Nothobranchius furzeri: one gene and its partner. The protein of the gene in region 1 purifies or fractionates together with the protein of each later gene. This does not show direct contact. Links are inferred from orthologs where the notes say so. Each region holds a gene or a part of one and is shown in the gene's direction. Other genes may lie near its edges.

Evidence for each region.
Region 2: the proteins of nuak2 (region 1) and ppp1r12a purify together in Homo sapiens (affinity purification with mass spectrometry; 3 studies listed by BioGRID and IntAct, counting the BioPlex papers as one, with this or other methods). This does not show direct contact. The link is inferred for Nothobranchius furzeri from reciprocal best matches to the Homo sapiens genes NUAK2 and PPP1R12A.

What each region holds. Positions count from the first base shown.
Region 1 is NC_091743.1:46,618,773-46,625,627, forward strand, and holds the start of nuak2 (NUAK family SNF1-like kinase 2), read left to right. Parts: upstream 1-2,351; 5' UTR 2,352-2,479; coding exon 2,480-2,758; intron 2,759-6,855. UniProt on the Homo sapiens protein: Stress-activated kinase involved in tolerance to glucose starvation. Induces cell-cell detachment by increasing F-actin conversion to G-actin. Expression is induced by CD95 or TNF-alpha, via NF-kappa-B.
Region 2 is NC_091741.1:40,775,082-40,781,380, reverse strand, and holds part of ppp1r12a (protein phosphatase 1 regulatory subunit 12A), read left to right. Parts: intron 1-70; coding exon 71-215; intron 216-296; coding exon 297-371; intron 372-499; coding exon 500-591; intron 592-664; coding exon 665-822; intron 823-921; coding exon 922-1,019; coding exon of another isoform or gene 1,020-1,049; intron 1,050-1,918; coding exon 1,919-2,026; intron 2,027-3,872; coding exon 3,873-4,097; intron 4,098-6,299. UniProt on the Homo sapiens protein: Key regulator of protein phosphatase 1C (PPP1C). Mediates binding to myosin. As part of the PPP1C complex, involved in dephosphorylation of PLK1. Capable of inhibiting HIF1AN-dependent suppression of HIF1A activity.

The sequences.
Region 1 (6,855 bases):
GGCCGTTCCTGCCACCTGGGTACTTGACAGTTCTGCATTTCTGACATTGCATAAAAGAGCCTCTAGGCTGTAGTTTTACACATATTTTTTGTGTACTTACTGTAAAGATCCCCCCCGGTCCTCATGCCGGTTGCGCCCCCCCCCCCCCCCCCCCACCCAAGTCAAAAATGTGTCTGTGGTTATGCCCCTTTTGCAGCCTTGATGCGCACTTCACTTAATTGGTATTACCCACAATCCATTGCTGTGGGAGAAAAGACCCAAGAGCCTCTTTTGAAAATATGTATTTTCAAATGAATGTCGTTCATTGACAATTAACTGATGCTATGAATGTTTTAGACAAAGCAGGAGTGAATGTAAATGTATTTCAAATAATTGTTAGGTTTGTATGAAAGTTTATATGAAGTTTTTTTAAATTAGCACAGCGCAATATGAGTATTGGGATTGCGTCTTGGCAGAAAAAATTGGAGCCAACATATCTGGCACTGCAGTCTGGTTCCAGCATGTTTCCTGCATGTTTTAAATCTTGAACACAGCTGATTTGTTTAATTTAGTGATGAACCACCTCTGTAGACACTGATGAAAGCTGGGGAGACATTTCAGCTGTTAGATTAAGGTGTTAAAAAGACTAACTAAAAGCAAGGATTTAGGTTTTGCTTTCGGTTCTAATGGGGGGGGGGGGGGGGGGGGGGCTAAAAAGCAAGCCATGACTGCCTAGCCTCCCTTTAAATACAGAATAAATTTTATCACTTGAAATTTATAATTGTCAGAATTACAAAAGGTCACAGCAGGAAAGAGGAAAAACAAGCACAATGTTTTGATTTGAAATTTGTTGAAATTGTAGAACCAGTAGTGACCCGATTCCAAACAACGTACAGATGCAGAAAAATAAAAATATACTGAAACTTAGAATGAAGAGAAACAGGAAAATAATTATTTTCAGCATTCAGTCTAAATATGACAAATAGCAAACAGGCTAATATTAGTAAATGTGTTATGAATTAGAAAATCTGCGCATTTGAACAATTAACACATCTGCACTGAACTCATGCTGCTGCTAAATAATTCACAAAAAAGTCAGTTGCTATCAGCAGAAATCTGCGTTAAAAGGTTTCCTCTTTGTGAGTTTAGTTCTTTGTTTTCCAGGATTTTACAGTGTCCTGCATGAGTTACCAATCACTGCTTTATAGTGCTCATATGCAAGACTCGTCTCTGAAACGGGTCTGATCGCATGCTGTGACTGAGCACTTTGCCTGTCTGAGACTCAGCCGTCAAAAACCTTTTCTGAGATGTGGATCCTCTACCAGATAATAAATAACCATGGTGGTATGAGTAATACTATTGATCCTGGTTAAATCAGGCTCCCTTTCTGTTTCGGCCATCTAACATTTCATTAAATGTAGTAATGCAGTAAACATACGTAAACAAAGTCTCTGTCCGATGGGTTAGGGGGTCAATCGGGAATGATGTGTGAAAGAGCTTTTTAAAGCATCCTATCAGAAGGAGACTGTCTGACATCCATTAACCTGGTCTGAGCTGTTTTTCATGCTTCGTTTATTTTATGTACTATGAAATAGAATAGGATGAATAGAAGATGAAACACTGAAAATGCTTTAACTGATTATATTATAAATGAGTTGTTTTGTCTTGGTTTCATTGAACAGGTCTAAATCAGATCAATTAACCCAAATTCAAACATAAGGTGGCTTTTGCTGACCTCTAGTGGCTGAATCTGGACATATTCATATAGGATGACTAGCTACATAAACTAATACACACAACACATTCATTTTGCTATACTAAATGTTCATTAATACACAATGTCCCTCTTAAGCTGTTAAAAATGAAAATAAAGAAGAAAAATGCAAAAATTAAAGTTCCATTTCTGATTTGTACATCATTCTCAAGTTACTACAAAATAAAACGATTAATTTGTTTCCTAACCAGAATGGACACTTAGGGGCATACACATTTCTTCTAAATGCTTTCTCACCTATGTTGTGTTTCATCTGCACTCACAGCAGACTTGTAGTACAAACTGTCATTGTTGTTAGAAGAAAAAGATTACTATCTTGACACACTTTGACAAAGGTGCATTTGAAACGTGTTCAATTAAATGTGAAACTTCGTTGATTTGTCTGCCCCAAACCTTTTTCAGGAAGTACAAGGATAAGTAACATATTCAGCTCAGATCTTACTGGTTGAAGTGAGATGTGCGCTCCCGCGAAAAACAATGTCTCCGGCGCGCGACCTGAAACTCCTCCTCTGTCTGGCAGGGGGCGGGGCTTCCCTCAGTCTCCGCCCGCACGCAGAGTACCTGCAGCCCGGCTCCTCTTGCTGGCCTTAATCTTCATGTCCTCCTCACAATTTAGTCGTAGCAAGTCACTTTAATCAGGCCGGGCTGGGCGGACTCTGTCGTGATAAATGACACCCAACCGAACCTGGCGATTTTAAAATAATCAAGGTAGCTCCGGACTCAGGAATGTTGTTTACAAGCGACACCTGCTGCGACCAAAAGCACAACGAAAGTAGAGACAGTAGCGCTGTCTGCGTCGGCATGGACGGCTGGAGTCTCCCGTCTGCCGGAGGAGTTTCAGACCCTCCTTGTGGGGGATCTCCGTCCCAGGTGCCCTTGAGGAAGCATGCGGTGAAGAGGCACCACCACAAACACAACCTGAAGCACAGGTACGAGTTTCTGGAGACTCTGGGGAAAGGAACCTACGGCAAGGTGAAGAAGGCCAGGGAGAGATCCGGGAGGCTGGTAAGATACAGCTGATATTATTATTATTATTATTATTATTATTAGAAGTAGTAGTATTTCATCGTGACGACAGGTCAGCAGTCCGTTTCACGCGAGTGTTTGTGCCGCCGCTCCTCCTTGCCACCTGTTGTTTAGACCTGCGGGATTATTTTTAGTCCATCAGGTCTGTTGCCTTTTTAATCTGCGGTTTCACTTCAGTGAGAGTCATCACGTGTCGCTGGAATGTAAAAAAGATCTAAAAACAGGCTTTCTGATACGCAAGTTTATTTTAACATCATGCGTTGATAGCCCAGTCCTTTTTAATCACTAGACGCACTGAATAGCATCACATCTAAAATAATCTGAGCATTGTATTCCCACCACCTTTATCAGAGTTAAGATAAGAAGTCAAAGGAGGTTCCAATAAATGTCTTCTAGTTGTGCGATAATAGCACAAATGAGCTCCTGTGCCTGAGGAAAAATATGTGAAACTTATCAGAAAGTTGTGTTGGAATAACTGAAACTGATTTCTTCTGGGGGAAGTTCAAACCAGGAAATGTAGTCATTTTCTTTCAAAGTTTCAGAAACAAAAGTGGGAATTAAGGCTGGCCTTCCGGGTGAATTCCTGTTCCCTTTGACCCAAGGGGGAATGTGAAGCATTCATAGTAGAAAAATGTCTGAGATAAGCCCCTAAAAGGCACATAAAGGAGGTTAGACAACTTAAGACATGTGTTTTTGAAGATTATGTCCCTAAACATTGTCTGACCTTCAAGTATTTAAAAAATGTGTTTGAAGTTACACTCTTAACGCTTAGACTGGGTTGAAGATTAGAAATATTTCAGCAGAATTTACAACAATTTTAAAGAAATTAAAACTACGATTTAAAAGTGACTTTAAAATCACCTTCAATAAACTAAACCCCTCAAACTTGCCTTTTACATTTTGTGCACATTTCAAGAAATTTCACACAATTTATAATTTGCATTTAAAATTTTCCAACAGTGTGATAATAAAAAAAAATAACCCAAAGGAAACTAAAAGTACAGGCAAAGCAGAAACAAAGTCGCTCAGAGTTAAACCAGGTCAGTTACTAAAAATAAAACCCAAGTAGTTTTGTGTTGCTTATCAGATGTTTATGCTGTTTAAAAGATAAACGTCTGACGTGAGCGAAAGTGCTTCAACTCAAGGAAGTGAGTGAATTATCAGGAATTTCCCTGCCAGCATTGGCCGAAAACATGCAGGGGTACGAGTCCAGTCTTGTCCACACACCCTTCAGAGGAAACAACTGTCTGGGATTTAGATTTGGTTTCACCCTAAACTAATATCATTTATCAGAGAAATCAGCCTCTGCAGTGAGATAATCTGTAATCCGACTCAACACAGAAGTGCGCTCCATCCTGCATTATTCTCCACAGCTATTGTCTGAGTTCATATGTTTGATTGCATAACCCATTTAGGTTGGGGGCTATGCATGCATCCATGAGGGTGTTGATCCGCCACTCACTGCATAACAGTAACGCTGTTTGTGCATTCATGCACCCCCAATTAGCTACAGTCCGTCCATCCATCTTCTGAACCCGCTTTGTCCACATGGGGTCGCCGGGGGGGGGGCTATCTCCAGCAGTCGACAGGCAATCAGGCGGGGTACACCCTGGACAGAGAGCCAGTCCATCGCAGGGCAACACAGAGACACACAGGACAAACAATCATGCACGCACACACTCACACCCAAGGACAGTTCAGACAGACCAATCAACCTAACAGTCATGTTTTTGGTCTGTGGGAGGAAGCCGGAGTACCCGGAGAGAACCCACGCATGCACAGGGAGAACATGCAAACTCCATGCAGAAAGTTCCCAGGCCGGGAAGCGAACCCAAGACCAGCTCTAACCACTGCGCCACTGCGCAGCCCAATTAACTACAGTGAGGAACAAAAGTCTTTGAACACCCTGCGAATTTGCAAGTTCTCCCACAAAATCATGGAGGGGTCTGAAATTCACATTGTAAGTGCATCCCCACTGGGAGAGACAGCTTTTAAAAAAATCGGGAAATGACATTGGGTGATTTTTAAATCATGTATTTGTATTGCACTGCTGCACATAAGTATTTGAACACCTGGGAATCATCAATAATTCTGGCTCTCAAAGACCTGTCACTCTGCCTTTTAAAGAGTCCACCTCTACTCCACTTATTCGTCTAAGTTAGTAGCACCTGTCTGAGCTCCACCCCACTTGTCCACCCCACAGTCAGTCACACTCCAACTACTACCATGGCCAAGACCACAGAGCTGTAAAAAGACACCAGAGACAAACTTGTGGACCTTCACCAGGCTGAAAAGGAGTGCTGGGCAATTGAAACTAGATCAACTGTTGGAGCGATTGCTAGAAAATGGAATAGGCTAAAGACGACTGTCAGTCTTCCTCGGATGGGGGGCCCATGCAAGATCTCACCTGGTAGGGTATCTTTGATAAGAACGGTGAGGAGTCAGCTCAGAACTACACAGGAGGAGCTGGTCCATGACATGAAGAGAGCTGGGTCCACAGTTTCAAAGTTCACTGTTGGTAGAACACAACACCATCATGCATTACACGGGAGGTTTCCCTGCTCAAGTCATCACATGTCCAGGCCCGTCTGAAGTTTGCCAATGACCCTCTGGATGATTCAGAGGAGGCATGGGAGAAAGTCATGTGGTTCAGTGAGACCAAAATAGAACTTTTTGGTCTAAACTCAACTCTCCGTGTTTAGAGGAAAAAGAAGGATGTGTTGCGTCACAAGAACCCTACAGTGAAGCATGAGGGTGGAAAAATCATGCTTTGGGGGTGCCTTTCTGCCAAGAGAATGGGATGACTGCACTGCATTAAGCTGGGATCACACTGTGCGTATTTCAGCCATCACACAGGACTGCTCATGTCCCACTGTGAGAACTCCAGAAAGGTAGCAAGCACACTGTACGGCGCAAGATTTCTGTTAGCCAGAGCACACAGCGTCTCGTTCCAGCACGACACGCTACGTCATGAGCGCGCCCCGATAGCATATGTCACTAAGACTGCTAACCAAAACAAAGCGGAAAAGATTTTTTAAAAGGCCGTCGTCAACACTTCTTTTTAGAGTCAGCTCATCTACCTCAAAGACGAAGGATCATTTTTAAAACCTTTGCTTTGGCCTCAGACTCCGTCTGCAAGTCTCCTTTTCCCGTCTTCCAGCTAAACAGCAGAGCTGTCTGCTGGACATGCGCCACTTCTCATCCCCTAAAACCCACTAAACTACAGAGAAGTAACAATCCATCACACATCGCCCCAATATCTAAACTTCTGCTGTGAATTTACTCCTCATGCAGCTCCACTCCATGACAGCTCATCACACCTGGTGCTGCCACTCGGCAACAAAACGCTACTGAAAAATCCTTATCGGTTGAATGTGTGAGATTTCCACCATCAGCAAAGGGATCGCGTGTTTTTGTGTTTTACTTTTTATGCTGGTGAAGGTTCTCAGTCATCCAGGTCACGGTAATCCAAAGGGTTCAAATGAAGGCAACTGGACTTCTTCTTTTGGTTTCTTGAAAACGTTTCGGTTTTCACAAGTTATCTGATGGTCTAAAAAAGGTAGTTTCATTATTTTAAGCATAACTCTGGTTTACCTTGAGCAATTAACAAAAATGAAAATCTTTGTGTAGTTAATAATCTGCATTTTAAGCATAAATTGAAACCGAAGCTCAGAGAGGCAAAATCTTGCTGCTGCGGCGTCCCAAAGGTGTGTTTTCATTGGTCGGTTGCAGACAGGAGTTGTAGGTTTTCAAGCAGTGCTTGTAGACTGTTGGAGGCTGTCTTTGGTCCTGTGATGGCTCAAAACGATGTTGCAGAGCCATACACTGTATGTCCACAGATATGCAAATCACCCTTGCGTTCACTTTTTTTTTGGTCACGATTCTGCTCGGGAAGAGGGATTTGGCTAAGACGGCCGAAAATTGCATAGTGTGAACCGGGCATCAAGGAAATGACAATGACCCGAAGCACGGAGCCAGGATAACCAAGGAGTGGCTCTGTAAGAAGCACATCGTGGTTCAGGAGTGGCCTAGCCAGCCTCCAGACCTGAATCCAATAGAAAATCTTTGGATGAAGC
Region 2 (6,299 bases), on another chromosome or scaffold:
TCCGATCCAGTGAGCTCAGTCGCTGATTCACATGAAAACTGATTTATTTAATTTTTTTCTCAATGTGCAGGCTTTTAATCCAAGCTGGGTATGATGTAAATATCAAGGACAATGATGGCTGGACTCCTCTACATGCAGCAGCGCACTGGGGCAAAGAGGAGGCCTGCAAGATTCTTGTGGAGAATCAGTGTGATATGGATATTATTAATAAAATGGTAGGTAACCGGTGTAAAAAGCAAACCTGCCTGCAGATGTTGCACAACGCTCAACTTACTTTACCTTTGTTTTCCCCCCAGGGTCAGACGGCTTTTGATGTAGCAGATGAAGACGTTCTGGGATACTTAGAGGAACTCCAAAAGAAACAAAATCTGGTGAGTCAGCGTGGTGCTAACTGGATAATAAATTCAAACCCATTTAAATTGGTTTGGACGTGCGCGCGTCTGAGAAAGCCGGGTTTCAGAATCCATTCTGAACGTTGTGCTGTTTTAATTCATTTCAGCTGACGATTGAGAAGAAAGACGTTAAGAAGTCTCCTCTGATTGAAACGACCACCATGGGCGACAACAACCAGTCACTGAAACCACTCAAGAGGTAAATGGTTTTATTCACAAACTATCCAAACTGTTTCCCTTTTTAAATTGTTCTACGGTTATTTATGATCCAGCAAAGAGACTCTGCTCCTGGAGCCGGAAAAGACTGCTCTACGCATCGAGACGCTGGAACCAGAGAAAGTGGATGAGGAGGAGGAGGGGAAGAAGGATGAATCGAGCTGCTCGAGCGAAGAGGAGGAGGAAGAGGATTCAGAGTCTGAGACGGAAGCTGGTGCTCCTTTTTTCTTTTCTCACCACAGAGCTTCAGTAAAAACCATAGAAAACCGTTTGGGACCTTTTCTTAACCCTCTAATTGTTTTAAACCCTCCAGAAAAAAGCAAACCGGCCCCAGCGGTGAGCAGCAGCTCGACACCCACCCCCACCACCGTCAGCGTCACCGTTTCATCTCCAACTAGCCCTACTAACCAGGTGACAACTCCTACTTCACCGGTTAAAAAGGTACAACTAACCGAACGACCGTTTTAGTTTTCTTTGGACAGAATTTATGTAAATTTAGTCTTAAAAGACCTTCCTGAACATTCAAAAGTGCAGCAAAACCTCGGTGTGACTCGCTACGTTGAGTTCAAACTGTCCTTCGTGTCTTTTGAACTTGATCTACTCCTGGAAAGCGGCACAATTTCTCTTGCTGACTGGGTTTGCATCACTTAAATTCTAACCCACATTGATTTCAGCAGATTTTTTTTTACTTCTCTCTAAAAGACGATGGAAATAAAGTTGTGGAGTTCTAGATTAGGATGAATATTTAGGTATTGGGAGCGCATAGCTTTCTTTTGGGGCTTTGCTGCCCTCTGGTGGCAAGCTGAAGCAAAAGCCATTAAACCACAGTGAGAATGGGGCCTCTCTTTAAGAGAAAGCTCTTTTTATTTTGTTCCGCTGGCTGCAAATATTAGCTAATATGTGTGACTAATGCAAACAACCTGAAAATGTTTTGGAAAGTCATAAACGTCTAGTTTATAAAAGCAGAATGCTCTGGCTAGTTTAGCTCTGGCAGCTTTAACGGGTCCTTTACTCTTTTTGATGATGCTTTTTTTCCTGCAACAAAGCGTATTTAAAGCCAGGTGCTCACAATCCACATCTCTGAATAGAAGTGAGCGTAACAAACAGATGTGTTCCAGCGGCGGCCCTGGTTTGGTCCCTTGTGGCGTGACCTGGCTTTGAATTTCCTGTCCTTGCACACAAAGTCTGTTTCTTTTGCTTCTGCTTCTGTCTTATTCTGTCTTTTTTTTTTTTTTTTGTCATCCTTTGTCTTCCTCCCTCTCCGTGTTTTTTACTTTTTCATCCCGGGCGCTTGTCTTGGTTGGCTTTAGTTTGATTATATTACTCCTCTCATGCCTTTGGCGGAGCCAGGCTGTCCTTCGCTGTGGCGTCAAGGTTTGCGCAAAACTGGCATTTCTCTTGTGCCCAAAAAGCTGATGGTGAGGCTCTGGTGTGCACCAGCGTTGTTGTCTCGTCCTACATGCACTCATGCTCTCACAAAGCACTAAAACGTCTCCTAACCACGCCCACCTGGTCCAGGTGATGTAGGGTTTTTTCCACTCGATGGGGTCGGCCTGCCTTTAGAGCGTTGCGCAGCACTGAACTCTGGCGTCCTGCTTCAGAAGCAGGACTGCTTTAGCCGAGGCTGAACACTCAGAAATCAGCTCGAATCTGCATTATTTCTATTTTTCTACAAGATTTTTTTTAAATGAAATGAATAGCATCTCGTTCTCTGAACCTTAATGAAAAGGTGGAGCTGCATTTAGTCAGTTATTGTGAGACCACCCTAGTGGAAAAGTCCCAACAACCGACCCGCCCTTCACTCACAAACATCACATGGTGCTGTTTTCACTTTTCAATGCACTGCTAATATTTTCGTGTGTGTGTGTGTGTGTGTTTCTACAGTTTAAATTGTCCCTGTGAATCATGGTGGTGGTGATGAGTCTGGTCTTAAGGCTGAACGATCTGTTGTTTTCTGATTGAAATTACGATTTCAAACGATCAGATCAGAGTTTTTCAGCACTCCCGACAGACCCAGGATCTGTTAGGTTAACTGTTTTACACACCCAGGGTTTTCCCTCGGTCGCAGCGAGAGCCGACGAGGTGTTGTGTGTTGTGAGAGCCTGCCGCAGCAGCACATGGGTACATTTGGATGTTGTTCCTGTGTTTTTCCTTTTCGTGGCGCTGCTGCAAACAACAACAATCATTGCTGTGATCATCTTGTGGACCCAATCTGCTCCTGACTCCGTCTCTTGTTCGTGTGTGTGTGTGTGTGTGTGTGTGTGTAGGGATGCACCGATAAGATACTGGTACCTGTATCGGCACCGATACTGATACCAATACCAGTATCGGTGAAAGTTAACAGATACCAGTGCAGTTGCTTGAAAATGGCTTCACTGTAACTTGTCGTTTCTGTTCACCTAATATTTTAGTTTTGTGATGATTTCCATTCATATATTTTACTTTTTGTCTACCTCTGTCTTTTCCTGTTGAAAGCAGAGAAGAAAATTAAATCTGTATTCCAAATCATTGCATTTTTTTGTGTGGTAGAAGTATCGATATTGGTAATCGGTATCGGCGAGTACTCAGATCCAAGTATCTGTATCGTATCAGTCTGGAAAAAAGTGGTATCGTTGCATCCGTGTGTCCGTGTGTGTGTGTGTGTGTGTGTGTGCGTGCGTGCGTGCGTGCGTGAGGGAGGGAGGGAGGGAGGGAGGGAGGGACAAAAAGGATGAATCACCAGCATCCTCAAACAGCAGAAAAGCGTTTACCATGATGACATCAAGCGGACTTTAAAGCACAACTTCTTCTTTTTCAAAACCCATCTGATCCTGCCTGATGGCTCAAACTGTTGCAGAGTTAAAGAAAATCAAAGTTGGCATTAAAATATGTCGGCACCTTTAGCTTTCGCCCTTGCTTTAGTGATTGAACCTGTCATTTTTGATGGTATGATGTCATTTCCTGTATTGAATGTAAACACGGTGAACAATAGGCTAGAGCTTTGTTTTAAGGAAATCGTGAACCAAACTGAAAAAGCAATTTCTGCCAGAAAAGTCCCAGTTCGTAAAATCGTTCAGCCCTAGGGGTCGCATGAGTTCAAGCCCCGACTGAGTGAACTGCTGATCATAACCGTGTAATACTTTCCCCTCAACTGCAGCTCCTTTTAAATTAACCTGACAGCGTCTGACCTGATTGGTGGTTGTGTTTCTTAACAAGATGACTAAAATTCTCACAATCGAATAGTGAGTGAGTTTTCATCATTGCTGCCCCTATGCTCCATCCCAGGTCCCCCAGCCTGCTGGAAAGGTTTCAACAAAAGTGGAGGAGGAGAAGAAGGACGAGTCTCCGGCCTCGTGGCGTTTGGGTTTGAGAAAGACGGGCAGCTACGGGGCGCTCTCCGAGATCACGGCCACTAAGGACACCCAGAGGGAGAAGGAAACCACGGGTGTGATGCGCTCAGCGTCGAGCCCTCGGCTCACCATATCCCTGGACAACAAAGAGAAAGAGAAGGTCAGCTGTTACAGTCAGGTGGGACATCGACACAATGCTAACATTTTTGGCTCTATACACCACCACAATGGATATCAAATGAAACGAACAAGATGTGCTTTAACTGCAGACGGTCAGCTTTTATTTGAGGGTATTTACATCCAAGTCAGGTGAACGGTGTAGGAATTACAACAGTTAGCATAAGTGCCTCCCACGTGTTAAGAGACCAAAAGTAATGGGACAGAAGAAGAACGCTAGCTAGCACATGTCCTAATTGATGATATCTCCACCATTTTTCAAGATAAAACGATGAGACTCTAGACCCTTAGAAAGTATGATCGGTAAGCCCTATCTACCAAATTTTGTTTGGATTCACCAATAGGGGGCGCTAAAGAGTCAAACAGTTTCAAAACGGCTCGATGGATTTCCACAGAACTTGGCAGATACGTTTATCATTGGACCCTTACGCTATATTTCGAAAATGATTAAAAAGTGGGCGTGGCTTATAGGCTATAAATAGGCTTTACAAGTTTTCGCCCTTTTACTCATGAAAAATATATATTCTGTACAGAAAGTTACAAATCAAATCAGTCATAGTGACATCTACAATCACAGAAAAAAAATTGAATTTTGTCCAGTAGATGGCGCTGTTGTACCCCAAAAATGTTTATGGCATGTTTCTCCCCATTACTTTCGTAAAAAAACAAATGGTCTCATCCAGTATGTTCATTGAGTCAGTCAAATTTAGATGAGTATTTTAAAAAATGTTTTAAACTTATGCAAATTAGTAGAAATTTGCATAGTAAGTCAAACGTACTTTCGTTAACTCCTCCCGGCCGTCAAACACAATCAAATCAAAACATGGCCTGACGAGAGAGGAGGAGCGGCTGAGCAAACGATGAGAGCGGATTTTGGAGAATTCGCCTATTTTTCGAAATATGACTTTTTAAAATATTTTTTTGGAATGAAAAAGTTTTTTTAGCATAACTTCAAAAGATTTTGACATTTTTCACAGCTGTTCATAACATTCATACCTAAGGTCAATTCAAGTGCATGTCTTGATTTTCAACTTGATTCAACAATAGGGGGCGCTATAAATAGGAAGAAATTATACTGCTGAACCGGCTAAATGGATCTGCATGAAACTTAGTGGTTGTCATCATTAGAGTCTTACGACTACTTTATCAATATTGTAATGATTGATAAAAGTAGGCGTGGTTTATGATAATTTAAAATTTCACATTTGAAAAATTTTCTAAAAATAATTATTTGCATGTAAGAGGCTAAAATTTTCAGGTTGCGTTAACTGGGTAGCCTTGAGCTTATGTCACGAAAATCGCAGCTCCACGAAGAGGTTTGCGCTTTATATTTACGAAAATACATTTTTAGGCTAGCAGTTGTAGCGCAAATTCTGTTATGACAATCTTCTAGAAATTTGGCACAAAGTTCACTCTTTGGTGGTTTATGAAACACGTAAAATGTTGTCTTGATTTGAGCACCCCCTTGTGTTTAATTATAGGACTTATTTTTGGTGACTGCCACTAATGCAAATATTATTTTATTGTAAGAAAAGTTTAACATTTATGATCCCTACAAAAGTATAAACAGAATTTCCACATGACAGAGGCAATCTGGGAATATTTTGAGATTTCTGTACAAAAGCATAGATTTTTTAAGAATTTTAACTTTTTGCCAGTTTTTCTGTATAGTTGGACAAAAAAGTAAATAATTTACGTTAGAAAGTTTTTTTAGGTATACAGTAAATATGAATCATTTATAACATTCCACATGCACCTATGGTGATCTGAGATTTTTCTACTATTTTTAGAAAGTAGCACTATTTTTTATGAATGTTTTAATTTTGGCTGTGACCCTTATTTATATTTAACAATTTTTCTTCATAAATGGTTTGAGTCTACTGATTTAAAAACAATATCATATTATTCCGCATGTTAACATTGCCATGTGAGAATATTTAGGTAATTTTATGATGATATATGTATTTTTCAGGATTTTTTAAACATTTGATCAGCAAGTCAAAAAATGAAAATCATAGTTTTTGTTGAAAATCTTATAGATCTAGAGACATTATCAAGTATTTGTTATTTGTAATATTCTGTTGACGTATAGATTATTGTTTGATAATCTTTAGATCAAATATGGATTTTATAATTAAGTTTTTGTTTCGGTCAGTTTAATTGTACATCTCAATATAATTGTTTT